4 linked regions of the Arabidopsis thaliana genome follow. The protein of the gene in region 3 interacts with the protein of the main gene of each other region in a biochemical or structural test. Each region holds a gene or a part of one and is shown on either strand. Other genes may lie near its edges. The genes, in order: RBOH F, EEL, OST1 and PP2CA.

Region 1 (7,704 bases), on a different chromosome or scaffold from region 3:
GACAATGTCGACACCATTTTTGGCATGATTAAGAGCTTGAACCATTGTAATGAGAGCAGAACGAGCATCACCTTCTTCATACACACTTGTTAAATAGTTATGCATCTCTATCACACCCTGTTCCACACAATTTTTTTTTTTGATTTTCTCACATTGAATCTTCTCGGGAAAATTTTGATTGTGTCTGTCAAGAAATGTTTTGAGTTTGTTTATTACCCGTTGGTCAAGTTCTGCAACTTCGTTCATGACACCTTTGAACCAATCAAAAGAGCCTTGTTCTCTTGTGACCCAGTAGAAATAAGCATTTGTGGTTTTTAGTATTCTCTTTCGTCTTGGCGTGTCACCGTTGCTTCCTGTGCTGTATTCTGATGATCTACTGAAATCCGAGATCGAATCCTGAAGACGTAAAAACATTTTTATCAAACTTGACATCTTTATTTATTTGTCTGCACAAGAGAGAATAAGATAAGACTTGGTTTATTACCGCATGCTCTTCCATTTTAACAATGTTGTTAAGCAAATCTTTCAAGATACTGATAAATGGAGTTGCACCAATGCCAAGACCAACTAATAAGAGAACATCATATTTCCTATAATCTTGTGCTGGTGCACCGTACGGTCCATCTATCAATAGCTTTGGCAAACTGAAACAACATTTAACTAAACATATCAGCATTTGGTTAATTTATAAGTGTTTGGTTTTGTTTTCGTGTTATACCTTTTCTTTGTTGTTTCGTCGGCTCTGAGAAGTCCGCTTTTACCGCCAACCGGTGGCTCACAAACTTCAGAGAATACTCTTTTGAGTTCTTGAGTCCAATCACCAAGTTGTCTAATGTGAATGCTGATATAATCATCTTCAGGTGCGGAAGTAATTGAGAATGGATGCCTAAAACGAAATACAAATCAGTAAGACAGATGATTTGGTTGGTATCAAAAACTGTTATGAATAATTCTTACCACTCGAATGGCGAAACCGCAGGACATTGGACAAACATGTATTGTCCGCTTTTGTAACGAAATTGAGTTGGTTTCGACATTTGTAGCGTTAGAACATTACCAGGATATATAGCAACCTACAAGGAAAAATCAAAAGAAGTTAGCTTATTCTACAAGACAATGAGAAAGTAAAGAAAACAGAGTCCTCTGTTTTAGTTTTTGTTTTTCACTTACCTTAAGCAGTCGAACCGAATAAGAACCAGAACGGAAGTACCTAAGTGTTCTTTCTCCACCATAGAGTAAAACTGGTACTGCAAGATACATCCATGTCTGCAAAAAACAACATCTCAAAATCAAAATCAAGATTATATATGGTCAACAATTACTAAGCTTAGAATCATGGAGACTTACCGTACGAACATACCAAGGCTTGGCGAAATAGAGGAAGATACCATGAAGAATAAGCAAGATATAAACAATGACGAACAAATGATGCGAATACCAAAAGGCGTTAAAACCGGTTAGTCGATCAAATGGCTTAGGAAGCTTGACTAGGTTACGCCTAAACCATCTTGTTGCTAATGTGAATGAAATAATCATCAAAATGACCATTAAAATCCCAGTGATTCCTTCAGGTCCCTTAACGAGGTCGAAGTATGTTGGCTGTTTTGTTTGAAAGTAATGAAACAGATACCGATTGTAATCGTATTCGGTGGCTCTAACAATTCTAGGGAAATCACAAGCAAGATGGTCTCCAATATGAAGGATCACAGCTACTACAATGGCTCCAGCAATTGTCTGCACATAACAAAAAAACCAAAAAAAAGAGCAGTGAGTTAAAATTTTCTATCAAAATAGTTTAGTGAGTAGAGCATTGGTTTCTTACTTTATGAAAGTTTAAAATGATCAAATAAGAATTTTTTCCCCACTACAACACAACCTTCACTTTTAAAGGTGAGCATTTCTAAAACCAAAACCAAGACCAAACCAAAATTAATCTTAGTTTATTTACTGAAACCAAGCTTATACAACCAAAGCAAACCAAATAAACTGCAACTAATGAAAAATTTAATTTGTTATTTAAATATACCAAAACCAATCTTACTATATGTAATGTACTTAACTGAATTAGAAAATAAAAATTTGCATGTGAAGTTATCTTTGGTGCAAAACCGAACCAAACCATATAAGAAAACCAGACTAATTTTATTCGAACTAAACAAAAAAAATTGATTTTAATTCGGTATAGCTTTTCAAAATTTTATTCAAAACAGCTGTATATGAAGTTGTTTTTTTTGCAACATAGAGACAAAAAATTTCAAACTGAATTAAAAGTTCAGCTCTAATTCCGTATAAGACTTTCCTAACCAAACCTAAATTCCACATGCCTTAATCTTATTCACTTTTCTTTAGTGGCAAAAAAATGTAAGAAATGAGAAAGAGAGAACCAAAAAAAAAAAAAAAAAGAGAAAGCGAAATAGCTGTTTAGCTGTCATGTCAATGTTCCAGTGCGTGCACAAAGAATATGAGCCCCACAACAATCTCAGCTTTTTTGACAGCACATTGCGTTCGATGAGGATTTTGTATCTCTAATTAGTATTGGTTTTGACTTCTATAGAAGCACGAAAAGAAAGTTCTTATGGGACCCTAAAAAGTAGAAATCAAAAGTAAAAAACAAACAAACAAAAAGGTTTATAGCTCACTAACCTTGTGGAAGTTGATATTATCATCAAAAGGAACGAAGTAAGAGAGTCTTGTGGATCTAAGCCAAGTAATGGTGTTTCTGCAAACTGGGAAAAGTATTAGAGCCATGTTGAATTTAAGTGTTTCAGCTGCTCCTTTGGCTGTGAGTAAACAATATCCCATCACATGAAATGCATCTTTTTGCTTGTATTGGAAGAATTTCCACAAGAATAATCCGATCATGATCATGATCCATAAGGATAAAACCCATATCCTTTTCCAATTCTCTTGCATAATGTAGACGAAATCCGAACTCATTCTATGTATTCGACTCTTTCCCCTTAACCCTTGAAGGTTTTGGCTCAATGCTTGGCTCGTATAGCTCAATGCTTGACTGTAATTGAGGTATGTGTCTTTTTGTAGAAGCAAAGTCTCTAGTTGCCATAGCTACACAAGAAGAAAATAAAAGAGCATTAAAATGTATGAAATATTTGCCTTGATGAATCATTTAACTTCTATAGATAAATATAACATTCAAGATGTAGCAGTCACATGTTTTTTTTTTCTTTTCAAACTCTATCTTCTAGCTAGCAATTGAAATAGTCTATTGTAACTACTTCACCTACCATTGAGTTGATGAAATAGAAAAAAAAAAAGTTTTTATACTATATTTGAGCTACTGAATCTATACTTTATAATGGACAACTATTCTAGGTGTCAGCAAAATGAGATAAGAGTAGAAAAAAAGCAAACATGAAATAATTTAATGCTATAGTAAAAGAAATTGGCTCCTTTTTTCTTATAACATGTGAGGTCATACATTATATAAAAGAATTATTGAATTCCTATTTATGGGCGGCGGTTTTACATACTTTATTCCGTTTGGGTAACGAAAGTATTGAAAATATTTTGCAATAATATAATACTCACATCATGCAAGCACGGAAACAAAGCATGTGATGGTGGAAAAAGATTCAAAGATTTGTACAGTGTGTATTAAAACCAACCTCTATGTAGCCAAGTCTTTCAGGATCTAACTCTTCCATAATCAAAGCTGCATATTCCTCTGCTTGTTCCTTTAATCTTGATAGCTTATTTGCAGATGCACTCAACATTATTATCTAACATATTCAAAGAAAATACAAAAAAGCATAACGATAAGAAGGATTTTTTTCTTCAAAAAATGTTAAGTAAAACATCTCTATTGTATCTTGTGTCACCGTCAAATATTAGATTATATTAAAACAAGTTGATTATTAGTCAAAACTAATTAAACAATAACATATTTCAGCATAATTGAAAACTTAGTTACAGATAAGAATCTAAACGAACATGGTTTAAACTCAAATCAATGACAAGAAAATTCGTATTTTGGTTCTTTGATATTTTTAAAATTTAAATGGAGTGGTTAGTATATCAGCATTTCATGAGATTTAAGGTCACCAAATCCCCGCCTAACTTTGATTATAAATTTAAAAAATCTATTTTGACTACCAGTCCCAGTTTATATTTTATTCTTAAACCTTAACGAAAAAATATGACATTAATTTATGTTTAATTAAATAGTGACAGAATTGATAACACTAATTGTGTTAGTTAGCTAGCATTTAATTACCTCTTTTACTTCCTCTTCTGTAATTCTCCCATCTTCATTCTTGTCCACTCTGTAAAAATGATTAATTATGTAATTAATTATCTTCAATGAAAGTCAAAGGTTTATATTTAAAAACAATAGTTACAAAAATTAAAACATACGCATCGTAAGGAACAATAATTTCTGCACACATGCATCAAATTAAATTACTAGACTGTTTAATTAATTAGGAAGACTGATCTGGAAAAACGCTGAAAATATGGGATCTCTTTATAGTAAAATGACTGTTAGAAACCTTTCTAAAATAATCATTGATTATCAGTAAAAATATGATTAAGAGAGTAATTAAATTAAAGTAATTATTAAGTTTAAGTAACTTTTTCTGTTACGTACATGTCGAAGAAGATCTGGAGACGAGAATCAAAACTCTCGTCGTTGATTTGTGACCAATACTCATAAAGCTCATCGTGATTGATTTTCTCTACTTTTAATCTTCTTCTTCTACTCAATGCATCGAACAGTTCCAATGCAAATTCTTTCGAATCTTTCATTCCTGTCAACAACAACAACAAAAAAAACACAAATCAAGATTTGAGTAAATTTCGAAATCTCTAGAGTTTCTTCTAGAGTTTTTACGAACCTATGCATTGAGCGAAATCGGAGCGATAGATGTAACCATTTTTTTCGAATTTTTCGAAATTTGATTGAACATCGTTCCAACCATCAACGTTCTTTTGCTTATTGCTAATGAATCTCAAACCACGAAGAGCTCTTTGAGCACTAGACCGAGTCCGATCTAACTGAGCACGTTGCTTTCGCAACGCTCGCGCTTCTAAAGCCGAGTTCACCAAACCACCACCAGCACCGCCGCTTTGATTAGCGGCGGTACTAGTAGTGGTTAAGTTACCTGAGAAAGAACGAGACCATGAGAATCGTTTCAACTCCTGAGATAACTGTTTCGCTTTCGCCACAGCTTCGGCTTTAAGCTCTTGTGAGAATTGTCGGAACCGATTAGATGAAGTTCGTTTCATCGTCGGAGATCTCGAAATCGAAACCGGAGTCATTATTCCGGTGTTGTCGTCGGAGATATCTCCGATGACATTAATGGCGGTTGCTGGCTCGACGCTACGAAGAACGATTGTGTCATCGTCTTGAAGATCGATTGTGACTTCAACGAACTCTTGATCACCGTTAATGGAGTATTCAGTTCCCGGTGAAGTTGATGCACTTCCGACGGCGGTTTTTCCGGCGGAAACTGAATCAAATGACCACCGTCGCCGATCGTTCTTTGAGAACGGTTTCATAGATCCAAAGTCGGAATTCAAAGAGTTGGTTGAAGGATATCGGAAGTATATACACGTAGCATAGATTATATATAAGTATATGTATAGGTTGGTGGAATCTTTGAAGAAAGAGAGAGAGAGAGGGAGAGATGGAGAATTGAAACGCGTCGTTGTGGCTAAGTGGGAAAAGCCATTTTTCACGCGCTGTGAAACTCTCTGCTTTATAGAGAGAACGTTGACGGAGAGAGAGAGATCAACGATGATGGAGATGATTGAACCGGACTGAGAAAAAGTTGACGGAATATACTTTTTTTTTTTTTTGAGTTTTTTTAACTTATAATAGTAATATTATTGGATTTTTGCCACATTTATTTTAATGCAACGAAAAGAAAATCAAAAAGTATTATTGGAGTTGTTTTTTTTCCTTTTCTCAAAATTGGAAATGATTTTTATCTGTTTTTTAGACAAGTGAGACTTTGAGAGTATCTTTGTTGGTCATTCTAGTTTATGCATGGGAAAATGCTATGTTTCTTCAAATATTTTTCTTATAGTAGTTTGCTCTTCAATAAAAAACAATATCAAAACGATTTGGACTTTTAAAAAAATTGAACATTTGATGTGTTAAAGATTTTTTTTTTTTTTGATTAGAGTACCAATTTAATTTTTCATTATATATTTTTCAATAGATATCTTATTCAAATGCACCATAATTATATGAGGTACAACACGATTTTGTATATATGTAACTGTTATTAGTTTAAATTTCTAATCTTATATAGGCAACTTAGTATCAGATTTTGTGTCCAATTTTCATTAGAATTAAACTCGTTATTAATTAGTAGCTAGCAATAAGCACTAAAAACTTCCAATTAGCTATAAATAACATGTAAAGAATATATGTACATATATATAGAAACAACTCGGATGACGTTAGTTCAAGTAATACCAAAGGAATATTTTTAAATCTGAGGTGATTGTGTGTGTGACTGTTGTTTCTCTGCAAGTCTTCTTTTTTTCGTACGTCCGACGCGTTTTATCCAAAGTTGAGCTTGTTTGTGAACTGATGAGAGAAAAAACAAGGACGACGACTTTGAATATAGTTTTTATACATCATTTGTGGAAGCCAGTGTTTTATTAGCGATTGATGTATTGTTGTTAAGTCCACGACTACAAATATTTTGCTCACTTTTGAAAAGAATTTATTGTTAACAAGAACAAATCAAATTTGATAACAACATTTTGTTTTCAGTGCTTCACTAATATAGACTAAAAAGATTTTAGATTAGATCGAACATGTTTAATCATGGGTCGTCCATCATAATCTTGTATTGCCCGTTGGACACTTTTGAGTAATGACACGACGTTGTTTAAGAAGATAGTAGATACATTTCCTCAAAAATATTTATATTCGAGTGGGGTAAACTTTATTTGTATTTGTTTAGTCTATTAATAATAATACTCAAGAAAAACGTTGTGGTTATTAGCCATATTTTTTTTATAAAATCTTTTCTTAGTCAAAAAAAACTTGAAATTTTTGAAAAGTAACGGAATAGAAATGAGATATGAATAGTTTTTTCCATACCTTATAAAATTGTAGCTTAGAATTAGAGATTTAAGGATTGAAAGAACTAAGTAAACTTAGTTTTGATAAATAACCAAAATCAAGCATGTAATATTATCTACCTAACGAAATTAATTATAAATTAAAAAACAGTTAGGGTTAATGGTTCAAACCGAACCATTAGGGTTGAAAAAAGTTTAACCAAATGGGTTAGATGTAGACTACGTCACTACGGTTCGGTTGTTTGGTTTGGTTCGGTTCTGTTTGGTACGATTAAAATGCCCATCATTCTACATCTCTCGGAAATTTGTATGGTTTTGGTTCGGCATCTAATTCAGTTATCAGAAAATAATAACCAAACTCGAATGTGAACCATTTCTATTTTAAGGGGTTGAGTGTTTTCATTTTAATATATAAAGATTTCAATTCAATGTTATGTTGTGCAAACAGTTGTAGTAGTAAATACACAAGTTATAAAACAAAACAAAAACTCCAAGTATGAAAGTGAAATGTGAAAAGATTTGATTTTCAAACGTAACTAATCTCATTTTTAAAAAACATATACGTTTTTCACGTTATACCTAATTTTGGCATCAATTTCAATTTGACGAAATATATTCACTAAAAAGTAGGAAAAGTTCGTTTAA
Region 2 (5,223 bases), on a different chromosome or scaffold from region 3:
GAACTCGTATGACTGCGTGCCAGCTGGCGTCTATAGGACCTGTTCAGGGGAACCCTGTTGTGGCTCCTGCTCAGCATTTCAATCCTGAGAATGTTCAGAGGAAGATTTATGTCAGTAACGTTAGTGCAGACATTGATCCGCAGAAGTTGCTGGAGTTTTTCTCAAGGTTTGGGGAGATAGAAGAAGGTCCTTTGGGGCTTGATAAAGCTACTGGGAGACCTAAAGGTTTCGCTTTGTTTGTCTATAGATCCCTAGAAAGTGCCAAGAAGGCATTGGAGGAGCCACACAAGACTTTTGAAGGCCATGTCTTGCATTGCCACAAAGCAAATGATGGGCCAAAACAGGTTAAGCAACATCAACATAACCATAACTCTCACAATCAAAATTCCCGTTACCAAAGGAACGACAACAATGGTTATGGTGCCCCTGGAGGCCATGGACATTTCATAGCTGGTAATAACCAAGCTGTGCAGGCGTTTAATCCGGCCATTGGCCAGGCCCTCACAGCTTTGCTGGCATCTCAGGGTGCTGGGTTGGGTTTAAACCAAGCATTTGGGCAGGCTTTGTTGGGGACATTAGGGACAGCTAGCCCAGGAGCTGTAGGTGGAATGCCAAGTGGCTATGGTACTCAAGCAAATATCTCACCTGGGGTCTATCCTGGGTACGGTGCTCAAGCCGGGTACCAGGGCGGTTATCAGACTCAGCAACCTGGTCAGGGCGGTGCGGGAAGAGGGCAGCATGGTGCTGGGTATGGTGGTCCTTACATGGGTCGTTAGATTAGCCACTCAGGTAATTATTTTCAGCTTCTTTTCATCTATTTCATTGATGTTCTGTATCAGAAGACTTTTTTTGTAGTTCGCTTGGTTCCCTTGTGTATTTCAAGACATGGACTTGCTGTATTTTGACCTTTTCATGGTTACTCCATTATGTTAAACTTTTTGCGTTGCAAGATCATTTTGTTTTCAAAGTTCCTGTGACTTTGTTGTGTTTCTGAAGGGTGTTAGGTTTTGCATCAGTTTATAAAAGTCTTCTCTTAATTTCTTAATTCATTGTGCAGATATTCCAATACAGTACTTTTTAAAATTGGCCTGGTGAATCTTCTGAAGTTATTAAGGAGCTGATGCAAATGGAGTTGTTTAGTTTTTGGATGAAATGTTACTCTTTCGTGTCTTCAAAATACATGACTCTTCAAACCTTTCAAGAAGTTTTAGTTTTCCCCTACTTGTTTTCTCAACTCTTTTTATGATATCCCAAATACACTGTTCTGATTTAACAACTATCGTTTCTGTTTTAAACTTTTGGGAACGTTTTCATTTGTAAAACTTAAACAGTGTTCCTCATGGACACACAAACGCTTTCACTATGTTTGAATCCGTATTTTCCATTTTCTCTTAATCAGACTCGTTTTTATTGGTTCTCGCTATGTTTCGCGGTTTTGTGGAATTTTTCCATGCACGTAATTCCTCTTAAGATTTTGACCTTGTGAGAGTATGATCACACATCACTATGCATATGTACATAACGGCTTATCTTGATTACCACATATTATATCTGCTTAATCCTTATTCCTCTTGCAGGTAATTTAAGAGCAAGCTGAACGGTCAACACTTACGCCCAACAAAAATCTATGGGGTACCAAATATTTGAATGCCACCTATCTGCTTTTTCTTTTATATATACTGAAAAGTGAAAAGGGATGAATCTATGAATTGGTAGCTTTATAACTAAAGAACGAATTAAGCAAAAGTTGTTTTCTTGTTTAACTTAGCTAGGCATCTACCTGAATCCAAAAGAGCAACTTGTTTTGTTTTGTACTAATAAGTATCAACAAGTCTTGACCTGCACATGTCAAGTTTTTGACTTGATTTAGAGCAGCTTGTTTCTTGTGTGTCCTTGGAGTTCTCTACTGTTTCTATAGCTTTGAATGAGCTTTCCATTTGACCACATCTCAAAAAATTTGGTAATGTGCCTTAGAATAACACCGAGTTTGGTAACACAGCTGGAATTGGTGTTTTGCTGTGGCATCATGGGAGCTCTGAAATGTCTTCCCAGTTAAAGGTGAGTATAACTGTTTGCATTGTGAAGATTTGTATTAACTATAGAACATTGAATTGATGGTGTTAAGTTCTTACACAAGCGTGCTTCTCGGTTTGAACTGTTTCTTTTGTATGTTGAATCAGAGCTTAGTTTATAGGAACCAGAGTATCTACTTAGTCATTCTCTAATGCTAAGTGCTAAGGTTCTACCTAGTTGCCCTCTAGGCCCTTATGTTATTGATAACTTATGAAGCTATTTGAACACTTGATTCTTAGGAGACCTAAGTTGGTACAGCCAGATAGAGTGTATGTTCTTGTTCTCTATGTGACAGGATCAAGCTGCCACACATAGTTCAAGGGTATGCTCTGTGTGGGTTTGCTCAGATTGAGGACAAATCTATACAAGGAAGTAGAGTCTTTGACATTTTGATGTTGTATGATAAGAAGAAGAAAGGAGAGTAATAAAGAAAGAGAAAAGGGAAACAGAAACACGTGGGAGAACATCCCAAAGAGGAAGCACACGCGGATCTTCATGCAAAGCTCCCCGATTCTCCCATGTGGTCCCTTTCTCCCTTTGTCCCCCTCCTCTTTCTTCTTTTCTCATTTTACTCCTTTTTTTACCATTATACAACGAATCTTTTTTATCATAATTTTTTGGTTTTGGTTTATTTTCCAATAACACCTTCTTGGTTACTTCCCATTCTCACTTTTTCATATAAGAAACTCACTTTGGGAAACTTATGTTTGAGAATGACAAGTCTTTTTAGAGAAAGTGATGTAACAAATCTAAAGTGATTATATAATAACCTTGCACAATGTTTTTGATTTTTTGTAAGATTCGAATATTAGGTTTATTATTCGTAGGGAATAAACTTACTTTCAAAAGCGTTCATAAGTTAATACTTTCATATATGATCATAAGTACGGACACTATTGTTTTTTGTTTGTTTGTGTTTATTCTAAAAGAAAGTAGCTTTTAATTGAAATGTCCTCAGAGGCACAGTTTAAAGTTCGAGTGTAACAGTTTCTAAGGCAAAATAAGCTCTCTTTCTACTATTTCTCTTTCTCTTTCTACTATTTCTCTCCTGTGGAGAAACTCAGGAGATAGAGAGAGAGAGAGAGAAGAGAAGAGAGCATGTATGTTTGGTTTTATAATCTCTCTACTCATACCAAAGATTTGTCTCAGACCCACCACTTGGACAGAGAGAACCCAAGCTCCTTTCTCTCTTTTTCTCGATCTACTCCTTCTTAATCTCCTTTTTTGAAACTTGAAGCCACTTTCAACATCATCCTTAAACTTTTGTTCCCTTATTCACAATCTCCTGCCACCTCTCATTTCTCTAGTTGAGTTGTTATCTGCGTTTTTAAGCACTCGAATACTGCATGCAAATTCCCTGATTGTTTGTTAGTACCTTAGAGATTCTCGATTTTTTAGTTGTTTAGATTGAACCAGGATTACTAAATTGTTATTGTTTTCTGTGTAAAGGCTACATATATGGGTTCTATTAGAGGAAACATTGAAGAGCCTATATCTCAGTCATTAACGAGGCAGAACTCTCTCTATAGCTTAAAGCTCCATGAGGTTCAAACCCACTTAGGAAGTTCTGGAAAACCACTAGGAAGCATGAACCTTGATGAGCTTCTCAAGACTGTCTTGCCACCAGCTGAGGAAGGGCTTGTTCGTCAGGGAAGCTTGACGTTACCTCGAGATCTCAGTAAAAAGACAGTTGATGAGGTCTGGAGAGATATCCAACAGGACAAGAATGGAAACGGTACTAGTACTACTACTACTCATAAGCAGCCTACACTCGGTGAAATAACACTTGAGGATTTGTTGTTGAGAGCTGGTGTAGTGACTGAGACAGTAGTCCCTCAAGAAAATGTTGTTAACATAGCTTCAAATGGGCAATGGGTTGAGTATCATCATCAGCCTCAACAACAACAAGGGTTTATGACATATCCGGTTTGCGAGATGCAAGATATGGTGATGATGGGTGGATTATCGGATACACCACAAGCGCCTGGGAGGAAAAGAGTAGCTGGAGAGATTGTGGAGAAGACTGTTGAGAGGAGACAGAAGAGGATGATCAAGAACAGAGAATCTGCAGCACGTTCACGAGCTAGGAAACAGGTTAAGAACTTGACATTGTGTTTTTACTTAGTTAATATTTGTTTGTTTGTTGTTAGTTGGTCTAGTCATCACATTGAAACTTGCAGGCTTATACACATGAATTAGAGATCAAGGTTTCAAGGTTAGAAGAAGAAAACGAAAAACTTCGGAGGCTAAAGGTAAAAATCCCATCTCTGCAGCTTGCTTCATGATCTAGTGTCGTTTTAGATTTAGTGGTTTTCTTTAATCTGATTATAATGGCAGGAGGTGGAGAAGATCCTACCAAGTGAACCACCACCAGATCCTAAGTGGAAGCTCCGGCGAACAAACTCTGCTTCTCTCTGATCCTAAAGACTCTTCTTTCTTTCTTCTTCTTTGTGTTGGTTTATATCAGACCGCTTTGTTCTTTGTATATTGTGTAGACTTTATTGACTTTGAACAGCATGTCTTTATAAACATTTCTTGAGTGTATTCCTCTTTTGCAGCTAGTTCAAACTTTTTGAGTACAAACACTAGTTCAAGTATGAATTCGACAATAGTTTTAGTACCTTACACAATTAAGCAATAGATTGATGGTTATGCTAAACCGTTTTTGATACTTGGTTACTAATACTTATTGGGCTTCTGATTACGGCCCAATTAAATCGAGTGTCTAATTATTCGTTCCTTCTTCTTCTTCGAGCAACGACAGTCCCTGAGAATCCAAATCGGAAACAATCTCCGGCAATTCAATAGTAAATGCGTTGCTCAGTTTCCTCTGTTGTTCGTCCACTATCAGTAGATCCTGCGACAGCCATAGCTACTTTGTGCTCAAAGGGTAACCTTCGAGAAGCTTTCCAGAGATTCCGACTCAACATCTTCACAAACACTTCTCTCTTCACCCCTTTTATTCAATCATGCACCACCAGACAATCTCTTCCGTCCGGAAAGCAGCTCCATTGTCTTCTCGTCGTCTCCGGATTCTCCTCCGACAAGTTCATATGCAATCATCTGATGAGCATGTACTCCAAGCTTGGAGATTTTCCTTCCGCTGTTGCAGTATATGGACGTATGCGTAAGAAGAATTATATGTCATCT
Region 3 (5,406 bases):
TGCTTCCATTTTCTTAATAAAAACGTTGCAAATTGTAACTGCTTGTTTTCTTCTTCCTTTTTTTAAAAAAATTAAAAACATTGAGTATTTTTTAAAGTAGGAATAATATTAATTTCAATGAACAAGAACAACTATCAAGTACTGGTTCATTATCAATTTATTATTCGAAAAATATTTAGAAAAGAAAAAAAACGAAGATGCGTGAATAAGCATCTTTTTTAATTTAAAGCGAATTACCGTACGTATGTCCTTCTGAACATATAACATGCATATTAAATTATTAATGAATGTGTTCCATCTACATTTATGCTGTTTTTGTATTTTTTGTGAAAATGGGAATATCATCTTATTTCCATATAGTTCAAGTCTTCAAGATATGCCCCATCTATTTACTTCAGTTTGATATTATCAAGTACCCACTTTAATCTGTATAGTACTACAGAATATCGATTTCTTTATCTTTTGCATAGCCTATATGTTGTTTAGTTGTCAACTTCTCCAAATTAGTTTAACAATTTTGTTTCTAGTATTATTAGAAAAACAAACAAAAAATACTAGAGAGAGTAGATAAAATACTGATTGATGAAAATGTTTTTTTTTTTTTTTTTCACTTTTGTTTAGAAATTTAGTCTTTTGCATATCAAAGATTCAAAGTGTACTCATTGAGACAAAGTTGGGCCAACTCAATAGCAAGCAAAACATCTTAATCTTATTCTTCAACATTTTTTGTTTGACATTTTTGTAGCAGAAACCATGCAAATAGATATATAGTATCACATTGCGTACACAATCTCTCCGCTACTGTCGATGTCAAGATCATCAAGGTCGCTCTCTAAGTCTTCCTCCATATCGTCATCTATGTCCAAGCTTCCTGTTTATCCATTAATGATAAGTTTTTCAAACATTGAGAAGCATTAAAAAAGACAAGAAATCGAAAAGTTTATGTTTTGTGTTGTCTCACCTGTGAGGTAATGGTTCAGATTCTGAGTGCCTGCAGGAGGAACAGTTGCTTCTGCAATGATCTGCATAATTTCTTCTATGCTTTGGCCCGGTTGATCCGATTCATCAAACTGAGTGGTCATCGTGTTATCGTTCATTAGATCTGCCGGTAGATTCTTTAGAAACCATTCATGGTTCCTTATTTCAGGAATTGATATCCTCTGCCAAGAAACCAACCAAGAGGGCCAAAATGCAAAGTTCTCTTTTCAGTCATACTATAAAGAAAATTCACAAATAAATCAACAAATGCAGCTTTCATGATCCTTCCTTTACCTTTGCAGGGTCAGCAACAAATATTCTGGAGATCAAATGGCGACATTCAGGAGATATGTGAACATAATCCGGAATAGCATACTGAACATTCAGGATTCTCTGAGCAAATATTTTCACAAGAGAACAGATAGTTTAGCTAGCAAGTAATAAAATCCATAATTACATTTTTCAACTATTGAAGCATGAAGAAAGTGAAAGGCTCACATGTATAGTTTTCCTGAAATTCTTTGGTTCCTCGGGATCTTCGAAAGGATATGCTCCAACCAGCATGACATACAGAGTAACCCCACAAGACCAAACATCTGCAACCTGAAAAAAAAGAAGAACATTAGGATGCATTTGACTAATTCAACCAAAACTCAAGAATTATCAGTTTACAAATCAGACTCTTAATAGCTTTCTTCACCAAAATTCTTGAAGAGCCAAGATTGTTTTATTTGTGTGAGCTTTCATCAAGAGAAAGCATGTTTCCCCTATCTATAATCAGAGGATAAAAATACAAAGATTGTTCTTTCTATAAGATATGGTTATCATACTAGTTTGGGAACTATGAAAATGGAGTACCTTTCCATCATATTCTTTCTTTAGTAAAACCTCAGGAGCGATGTAAGCAGGAGTTCCAACAGTTGATTTTGGTTGCGAATGTAACACTGATGACTGAAAAAGAAAACACAAAGCTTAGAGATACTAACTAACTCAGAGTTTCTGAAATGTTTTCAAAGATACCTTAGAATATCCGAAATCACATATCTTTAGACGAGGGGCCGGGCTACCATCTAATAACGTATTCTCGAGCTTTAAGTCTCGGTGACATACTTGCTACAACATAAAATTTAACTTCTTAAGTCAGCTGAATTTCACAGAGGATGAAGCATTGATTTGATAGAGAGCATTTTTCATTACCATAGCATGACAGTAACTAACTCCTGAAATGAGTTGCTGGAAGAAAAACCTCGCCTACATGATAGTAAACGATATATTAGCCTCAGCATTTTGAATCTTCGATTAATCATCAAAGCAAGAAAAAAAAGAGAGAACAACCTCGTCTTCGCTGAAGCGGCCTGCATTGCAGATTCGCTCGAAAAGTTCTCCTCCAGATGCATATTCCATAACAATGGCTAAATGGGTTGGTGTTAATATAACCTGAAGCAATCCTAAGGATTAAATTATAGAATTCCTTTTTTTTCCTGAAAATGTTAATAATAAGAAAACAGCTTAAAAGAGAGTTGAAAACAAACCTCTTTGAATCTAACGATATTGGGATGTCTTAAGGACCTGTGGTTGATTATCTCCCTTTTTACATTTTCATCTATCTGTACAAATACAAAAAGTCCCACCATTAATACCACGTTCCATAACAAAAGAAACACCTAGAGCCTTTAAAACAACACTATACAACATAAGTCATAAAGCAAAGCAGAGCAAATTTGGTCTTCCATAAAAATCAATCAATTTTGTAAATCTATAGGGTTAAACCATTCATAACCATAAAGTAACCAAACACACATCTCTCATTGGATGATGAACACACAAAAATGATTTCTTTTGAATTCAAGAACCTAGTGAATTGAAACATAAAATAAAATTGGACTAAGGAGAAAAAACAAGAAGAAAATAAACTGACCTTCTCACCTCTCTCGATATATTTAACAGCAACAAGCTCATTACTTTGCTTGTCTCTCATCAATCTCGCAACTCCAAAATTACCGGAGCCAATATCCTTGACGAGTTCATACCTATCACTATCGTGCATAATCGGCAAATCCATTGGACCACTCACTGCTGGTCGATCCATTTTCTCCCCCTCTTTCCTCTGTCTCTTTGCGACTTCAATCTCTGTGTCAAGAAGATTTCTTTTTTGGGAGACAATATCTAACGACACCAAGACATCAGAGGAAATGAACAACGGTGTGACGTGGATGAATTTGAGCCTTTAAGATGAGAAAAGGAGTATTGGGTGATCAAGTTATGGTTGTGAGAAAGAGACGTTTTCAGAGACCCGTGAAGTATCTAACCAACAACACAAGTGGGTTTCTTGAGATCCTTTTTGTTCCTTTGATCGCTCTCGATGAAGAAGAAGAAGAAGAAGGAAGGCTCGTGATCTTGAACTCTGTTTCTCTCTCTCTGTCTCTCTCTCTATCAGCTTTCCTTTTCTCTGTCAATATAAAAAGGAAACAGCTTTCTCTGTTCTGTTTAAACCACAGCTTGAAGTAAGCTATACAAAACAGAAAGATGAGAGAGATAGAAGAAGTTTTCGCTTTTTCTGTGAACTGTTGAATTGTGATTTGTCAAAGCATGGGAGATAGTTTGAAATGACGGATTTACCCTTTCTACTTACAACGTTCTGACAAACAATGGGGCCTGTAGTTTTTAGAAATGTTTTTTTTTACCGTGACTAGTATAGAAAATAATATTTTAATTAGTATAAACTTTCTTTTTATTGGCAAAGTATTAGTATAAACTATGTGATTTGTTACTCTTTATTTTTCAGTAAGTTTTATCTCTCCATAATATTATGCATTAATTTTTTCCGATTTATTATATGTCTTATTGTAAATAGTATAGCAAAAAATATGAAAATATTAATTGATTAAATTTATGCCTAGAACAGTTACTAAAAATATCTAAGTTTTCAAAAATATAGCACTAGAATGGTATGAGATTTAAAATAACAGATTTTGAATTGATTTTATATCCCAATTTAATTTAATCAAACACAGTGAAAAATGAAATAGAAATAATTTAAATTAACAATTAGTTTTTCTGTTAGTGGATCTATATATTAATATCGTAATATGTCCCTTACATATGTACATTTTTGGCTACTGGATTAATTTTGCCCCTTAAATATGTCCTGAAACGGAGCTGATGAAACATATACTCGCATTAAACAAGCTTATGGCTAATCATGGGAACCTCCATGTATTAATGACCACTAAAAAGATTTACTTTCTATTTCGGTATATAAAAAGGGTTTCCGCATTTAAAAACGGAAAATAAAAGAAAAACAAGTTACCACAAATGTCGAGATATTGTTGGCTAGCTTGTCAGATCTTCACCTAAAAGCTGAAACCGATAGAGTTGCACTCATCATCACTATAGCCCATCATTTTTACTATCTAAAGTTTTTGTTTATGCGCATCCACATGACGATTTTGCTGCAAACTTTTTTTTTAATCATCTTTTAAAAACATATATCCGTACTTAATATTCCCAATACACTCTTCTAGAGCTCGATCATTCCATGGACGTGAACATTTTGTCTTTGTTTCTCTTCCCTTTAGTCAAACAAACATTTTGTCCTTGTTTCAAACTAAAATCGATTTCTTCTAAATAAAGGAAATTCATTGACTAAACGAATGATTTTAGTGAATGAATGAAAATTTCTCATTGTGAAGCCTCTGTTTCTCTATTTACTTTTTTACTATTTAGAGTACCTTTCACCGAAATTTTCAATCAATTCCTTTCAATTTTACTACATGTTCAAGCATTCGAACAAAAGCAATCGTTGCAAAAAAGACTAGATCGGAATGCCTTCTACCCAAAAGAGAGAACTCAATGCAAACTGTTTATGAAATTTTTGAAAAAAAAAACTGGATTCATTCCGGTTGTTGCGAGTACCAACCAATGGAGAAAGATTGACCTTAGTTATTGTAGTTATCAAGGCCAAGGTCTCTCAGTGCATCAGTTGCAGCGGCTCTGCATGTCTCATTGTTGGCTTTAGCAGTTCTTATCAGCTTCTCGATTCCATTAGCAAGCAGAATAGTTCTGTAGTGTGCATGCAGACAGAACTTGATATTATAAAAGAGTTTGCGATATGTGCATATTGTTGGATGACAAGAATTGGAAACAGAGCAAAAACCTGTTCTCTGCACTTCTGACAGCAATGTTCCGTATCATGTTGCAAGCGTTTCTCTGCATTTGAGCAGCTACTGGGAACCTCTTCATTGCTTGGACCGCTAGATCACCAGCTCCAGCTTCTATAGCCTTGGCTGCGTGGTCTGGTGATCTCAGACAGATTATAGAGATTATCAACATCACCTGAACCAATCAAGTATATCTTGGATCAACCACAAGGATTATGCACTCAGACCCTAATGCTACAAGAAACATTCTTCACACGACATTACGTTC
Region 4 (4,581 bases), on a different chromosome or scaffold from region 3:
CCGCAATAAACAAAAGACGACGACGTGTTTTTAAAGACGTGATTGTAGACACCTTTTCATGGACTGTGGAATCGGTGATGTAAGTGAAACCAAGCACAAGTGGGAGGACGAACATTACCACGTGTCGAGTATGCAACACCTATATCGACTAAGCATAGAAGGAATCATGAACAAATAAATAAATAAATCTTGTAATCAATCAATACGAAACCAAAATATCTCAAGCATGGACAATGCGTGTGAATGAGATGAAACCTTTGTAGTCAGATGACTCAGATGATTGATAGTATAAAGTCTTCTATATGTAATTATGGATTGTGGTGTAGGTTTTAATCGTTTTCCAAGTTATGAAATTCTAACATCAAAACTAGGACTAGAAAAAAAACCAAAGCCGAAGATTTATTATATTGGGTTCGAAATTAAACTTGAACCCGAAGATTTACTATATTGGATCCTAAATTTTTTAATCCAAAAAATCTAAGTCGAATCCGAAAATACCGGTATTTTATTCGAAAATCTAAATTTATTCGAAATCTAAAATTTTATCCAAAAATTCAGGTATTTACTCAAAAATTCGGATATCGGTTCTAAAAGGACCCTGAAAATTTATATCCAAACCGATTAAAAACCGATTGGATACAAACTTAAACCAAACCGATATTTTGGATTTATCCCATTGAATCTTAAACTTTTATATCCAAAAAAATCATATCTAATCGGGTTTTACCCGAACTTAACCCAAATGCCCACCTTTAATTATTCAAAACCAAAAAAGAAGTGTTTGATGCTGAGGTTTGAACTCATCAGATACACGTAACTATTTTCCAATTTATTTTCGTTTATGTGCATTTCAGAATTTCAAGCATAAATATACTCTTATTGTTTAAACATTTCAAATTGCATGTGTGAAATAATATCAGAGTTAGAATATATGTTAATCTTCTCTTCTCCTAGATTCAGTTAGATACGTTTCTATCTTCTTTTAGGCAACATCTCTTGTACAAATAGTCTCTTTGGCAATTCAATACAATCAACCTTTTACGATATATATATTTGTTATTTCTTGTACAAATAGGATCAAAATTGTTATTTCTGAAGCAAATTTTCTTTAGTTTGGATGTCAATTATATCCTCGATTAATATGTAATCACGGAACGGATTCACGATGCGTTATTTTAGAAGCAAATTTATACTTGATAGTACGTTCAGAGGCATCGCTTTTGTACAAATTGAAGCGGGTTTGTTCAATATTTAAAATAACACAGGAAACATTCAAATGTATTATTGATGTTGCTTAGGTTTGTGAAATGATATGAACCATATCGTATATATTACTAGATTTTTCTTATATGTTTTAAGGGTAGTGGGGCTGACCTATCATTCTGTTTGGCATTACCAATCAGACTATCAGAGTATTCACCATTCAGGATTCCATAACTAGAAAAAGAAGGGGTTTACATTTTCTCATACTGTATAATTTTCTACTATCAGAGATTTTATCGATTACATTAATCTCATAGTGATTATTCTGATTTATAAAAAAGTTGACAAAATAATTAAAACCAGTATTTTATAACAAGATTGTCTCTCTCCCATGGCCATTATTTTGACCTCTGACTTATTTAAATCTTAATTAACAGCATAATACTGTATTAAGCGTATTTAAATGAAACAAAATAAAAGAAAAAAAGAACAAAACGAAAGAGTGGACCACATGCGTGTCAAGAAAGGCCGGTCGTTACCGTTAAGGTGTGTCGAACTGTGATTGGGCCACGTTAACGGCGTATCCAAAAGAAAGAAAGGGCACGTGTATAGATCTAGGAAAAAAGAAAGAATGGACGGTTTAGATTGTATCTAGGTACCAGGAAATGGAACGTCACACCAAACGGTACGTGTCGGATCCTGCCCGTTGATGCTGACGGTCAGCAACTTCCCCTTATTCATGCCCCCCTGCCCGTTAATTACGTGTAACCCTTCCATGCGAAAATCAAACCCTTTTTTTTTTTTGCGTTCTTCTTCAACTTTTCTTTTTAAATCAAACCTTTTCTTTTTAAAATCACATTGCATTTCCTAACGCTCAACAAAATCTCTCTCTACTAATATCTCTCTCTCTCTCTCTCTATTGTTGAAGAAGACTCATAATCGGAGATTGTTTGTTTTTGGTTTGCTCTGTAAATTGGAGAAGTTTTGTTAGAGATCAAATGGCTGGGATTTGTTGCGGTGTTGTTGGAGAGACTGAACCGGCGGCACCGGTTGATTCAACTTCTCGAGCTTCTCTTAGACGGAGGTTAGATCTACTTCCGTCGATCAAAATTGTTGCTGACTCCGCCGTTGCTCCTCCGCTTGAAAACTGCCGTAAACGGCAGAAGCGTGAGACAGTAGTGCTCTCGACGTTACCGGGAAATCTAGATCTGGATTCGAATGTGAGGAGTGAGAATAAGAAGGCTAGATCAGCGGTTACGAATTCAAATTCTGTTACGGAAGCAGAGAGTTTCTTTTCCGATGTACCTAAGATCGGTACGACGTCGGTTTGTGGTAGAAGACGAGACATGGAAGACGCTGTCTCGATTCATCCTTCGTTTCTTCAACGGAACTCTGAGAATCATCATTTCTACGGTGTCTTTGACGGCCATGGCTGCTCTCATGTACGTTAATTTCCTCTGTTTAGTAATATTTTTTTCTTTTGTTTGTGATTAGTTACTAATTAGGGTTTTGTTTGGTTGATTTTAGGTTGCGGAGAAGTGCAGAGAACGGTTGCATGATATAGTGAAGAAGGAAGTTGAAGTTATGGCTTCCGACGAGTGGACAGAGACGATGGTTAAGAGTTTTCAAAAAATGGATAAAGAAGTTAGCCAACGAGAGTGTAACTTAGTTGTTAATGGTGCTACTCGGAGTATGAAAAATTCTTGTAGATGTGAATTGCAGTCTCCTCAGTGTGACGCCGTCGGATCCACCGCTGTTGTATCGGTTGTCACGCCGGAGAAGATCATTGTTTCTAATTGCGGTGATTCACGGGCTGTGCTTTGTCGTAACGGTGTAGCCATTCCTCTCTCCGTAGATCACAAGGTAGTTAAAATTATGTCTTATATAGAATTACGAATTGGTTAGTATGAATCAAGATGGCATGGTTCTAAGAGTTTTTGTTTTGTGATGAACAGCCGGATCGACCCGATGAATTGATTCGGATCCAACAAGCTGGTGGGCGAGTTATATATTGGGATGGAGCTAGGGTTCTTGGAGTTCTTGCCATGTCTAGAGCAATTGGTGAGTGAATCTCTCTTGTGATTTGACTTTTTAGGCTATTTTGAATTACACGTTTGAATTTAATCTGATGATTATTGTTTTTGTTTGTATAGGTGATAATTACTTGAAACCGTATGTGATTCCGGATCCGGAGGTAACAGTGACGGATCGAACTGATGAGGATGAGTGTTTGATCTTGGCGAGTGATGGACTATGGGATGTTGTACCAAACGAGACGGCGTGTGGCGTGGCTCGCATGTGCCTTCGAGGTGCTGGTGCGGGTGACGACTCAGATGCGGCGCACAATGCGTGCTCCGATGCGGCGTTGCTCTTAACAAAGTTGGCTCTAGCAAGACAGAGCTCCGATAACGTGAGCGTCGTTGTGGTTGACTTGAGGAAGAGGAGGAATAATCAAGCGTCGTCTTAATAATTAGTGTTATAATTAGTAGTAGTATTAGAATAATTGTTACATAGCCTAATTGTAATTGTATTCTTTTTATTTTTCTATTTTAGTTTTTCTCATTTTAAGGTGTTTTTTCTTTTCTATTTTAGTTAGCTCTTAATTCAGGCTGGGGAAGAAAAAGAGCTGATTAAATAGTTTGAGTATTTTTCTTATTTTTCTATTCAGGTAATATTATACATGTATTCTTTTAGTATGGTCGTTGGAAATGTAATAATCTAATTCAGAGGGGAAAAATGTTAAAATGAAAGAACAGATTATGCGTATTTACCATTTTAAAACTTCGGTTAATGTTATTCGATCCGAACTGGTTTAGTATGAGTCTCGACGATGATTTGAATCCAAACCGGTTACTTACTAATCTTCCCCTATCTTAAGAAGATTTTATTTATTTTATTGGTATGGGGTCGTATGGGAGACTCGCGTGTCGTAGACCGCGGCATTTTAGCACATAATTGTAATTAAAAGATTCAAGGATAATATTAGAAACATAAATCAACAAAAATATATATATATCTTGGTGGAAGAGACTAATCTGGACAATCAATATAAGAACTAGAAAGTACAATGATTTATTAATTCTTTTAATACTAATGAAGATAGTTAAGTTAAGAGACTTGTCTGGCAACATTGTCGAATGCTTAATGTCAGTTAAGGTCGGAATCAATAATCAATTAAACAGATTTTGATTAAATTGACTAGAAAATATCAACTAGGAGGGTAAGAAAAAGGAATATGATCTTCACATTCTTTTATAAATAAATTAATATCAACTTGAACAAAAAATAATACATACTTTTAACCGTCCATTACTAGCCACTTGCCAGTTGCCACAATGACCAGATAATAAAATCTTATTCTATTCAATCATGTTTTTA

Evidence for each region.
Region 1: of the proteins of OST1 (region 3) and RBOH F, one has a biochemical effect on the other in vitro, tested with the Arabidopsis thaliana proteins (one study listed by BioGRID).
Region 2: of the proteins of OST1 (region 3) and EEL, one has a biochemical effect on the other in vitro, tested with the Arabidopsis thaliana proteins (one study listed by BioGRID).
Region 4: of the proteins of OST1 (region 3) and PP2CA, one has a biochemical effect on the other in vitro, tested with the Arabidopsis thaliana proteins (one study listed by BioGRID).

Annotation. Positions count from the first base shown.
Region 1 is NC_003070.9:23,768,079-23,775,782, reverse strand, and holds the start of RBOH F (respiratory burst oxidase protein F), read right to left. Parts: upstream 6,010-7,704; 5' UTR 5,518-6,009; coding exon 4,854-5,517; intron 4,767-4,853; coding exon 4,607-4,766; intron 4,284-4,606; coding exon 4,235-4,283; intron 3,741-4,234; coding exon 3,627-3,740; intron 3,067-3,626; coding exon 2,644-3,066; intron 1,735-2,643; coding exon 1,348-1,734; intron 1,267-1,347; coding exon 1,171-1,266; intron 1,074-1,170; coding exon 958-1,073; intron 887-957; coding exon 719-886; intron 645-718; coding exon 485-644; intron 397-484; coding exon 217-396; intron 118-216; coding exon 1-117.
Region 2 is NC_003071.7:17,127,718-17,132,940, forward strand, and holds EEL (Basic-leucine zipper (bZIP) transcription factor family protein), read left to right. Parts: upstream 1-2,035; 5' UTR 2,036-2,040; coding exon 2,041-2,058; exon of another isoform or gene 2,059-2,852; intron 2,853-3,056; exon of another isoform or gene 3,057-3,522; coding exon 3,523-4,167; intron 4,168-4,253; coding exon 4,254-4,325; coding exon of another isoform or gene 4,326-4,358; exon of another isoform or gene 4,359-4,373; intron 4,374-4,410; coding exon 4,411-4,491; 3' UTR 4,492-4,669; downstream 4,670-5,223. Other genes in the region: AT2G41060 (RNA-binding (RRM/RBD/RNP motifs) family protein), read left to right, coding at 1-776; AT2G41080 (pentatricopeptide (PPR) repeat protein), read left to right, coding at 4,885-5,223. UniProt on the Arabidopsis thaliana protein: Binds to the embryo specification element and the ABA-responsive element (ABRE) of the Dc3 gene promoter and to the ABRE of the Em1 gene promoter. Could participate in abscisic acid-regulated gene expression during seed development.
Region 3 is NC_003075.7:16,270,025-16,275,430, reverse strand, and holds OST1 (Protein kinase superfamily protein), read right to left. Parts: upstream 3,687-5,406; 5' UTR 3,068-3,686; coding exon 2,897-3,067; intron 2,586-2,896; coding exon 2,511-2,585; intron 2,416-2,510; coding exon 2,314-2,415; intron 2,230-2,313; coding exon 2,176-2,229; intron 2,092-2,175; coding exon 1,999-2,091; intron 1,930-1,998; coding exon 1,837-1,929; intron 1,582-1,836; coding exon 1,477-1,581; intron 1,372-1,476; coding exon 1,273-1,371; intron 1,161-1,272; coding exon 962-1,160; coding exon of another isoform or gene 915-961; exon of another isoform or gene 872-914; coding exon 774-871; 3' UTR 606-773; downstream 1-605. Other genes in the region: AT4G33945 (ARM repeat superfamily protein), read right to left, coding at 4,917-5,040, 5,135-5,313.
Region 4 is NC_003074.8:3,583,270-3,587,850, reverse strand, and holds PP2CA (protein phosphatase 2CA), read left to right. Parts: upstream 1-2,000; 5' UTR 2,001-2,201; coding exon 2,202-2,645; intron 2,646-2,730; coding exon 2,731-3,066; intron 3,067-3,158; coding exon 3,159-3,264; intron 3,265-3,356; coding exon 3,357-3,670; 3' UTR 3,671-4,069; downstream 4,070-4,581. UniProt on the Arabidopsis thaliana protein: Major negative regulator of abscisic acid (ABA) responses during seed germination and cold acclimation. Confers insensitivity to ABA.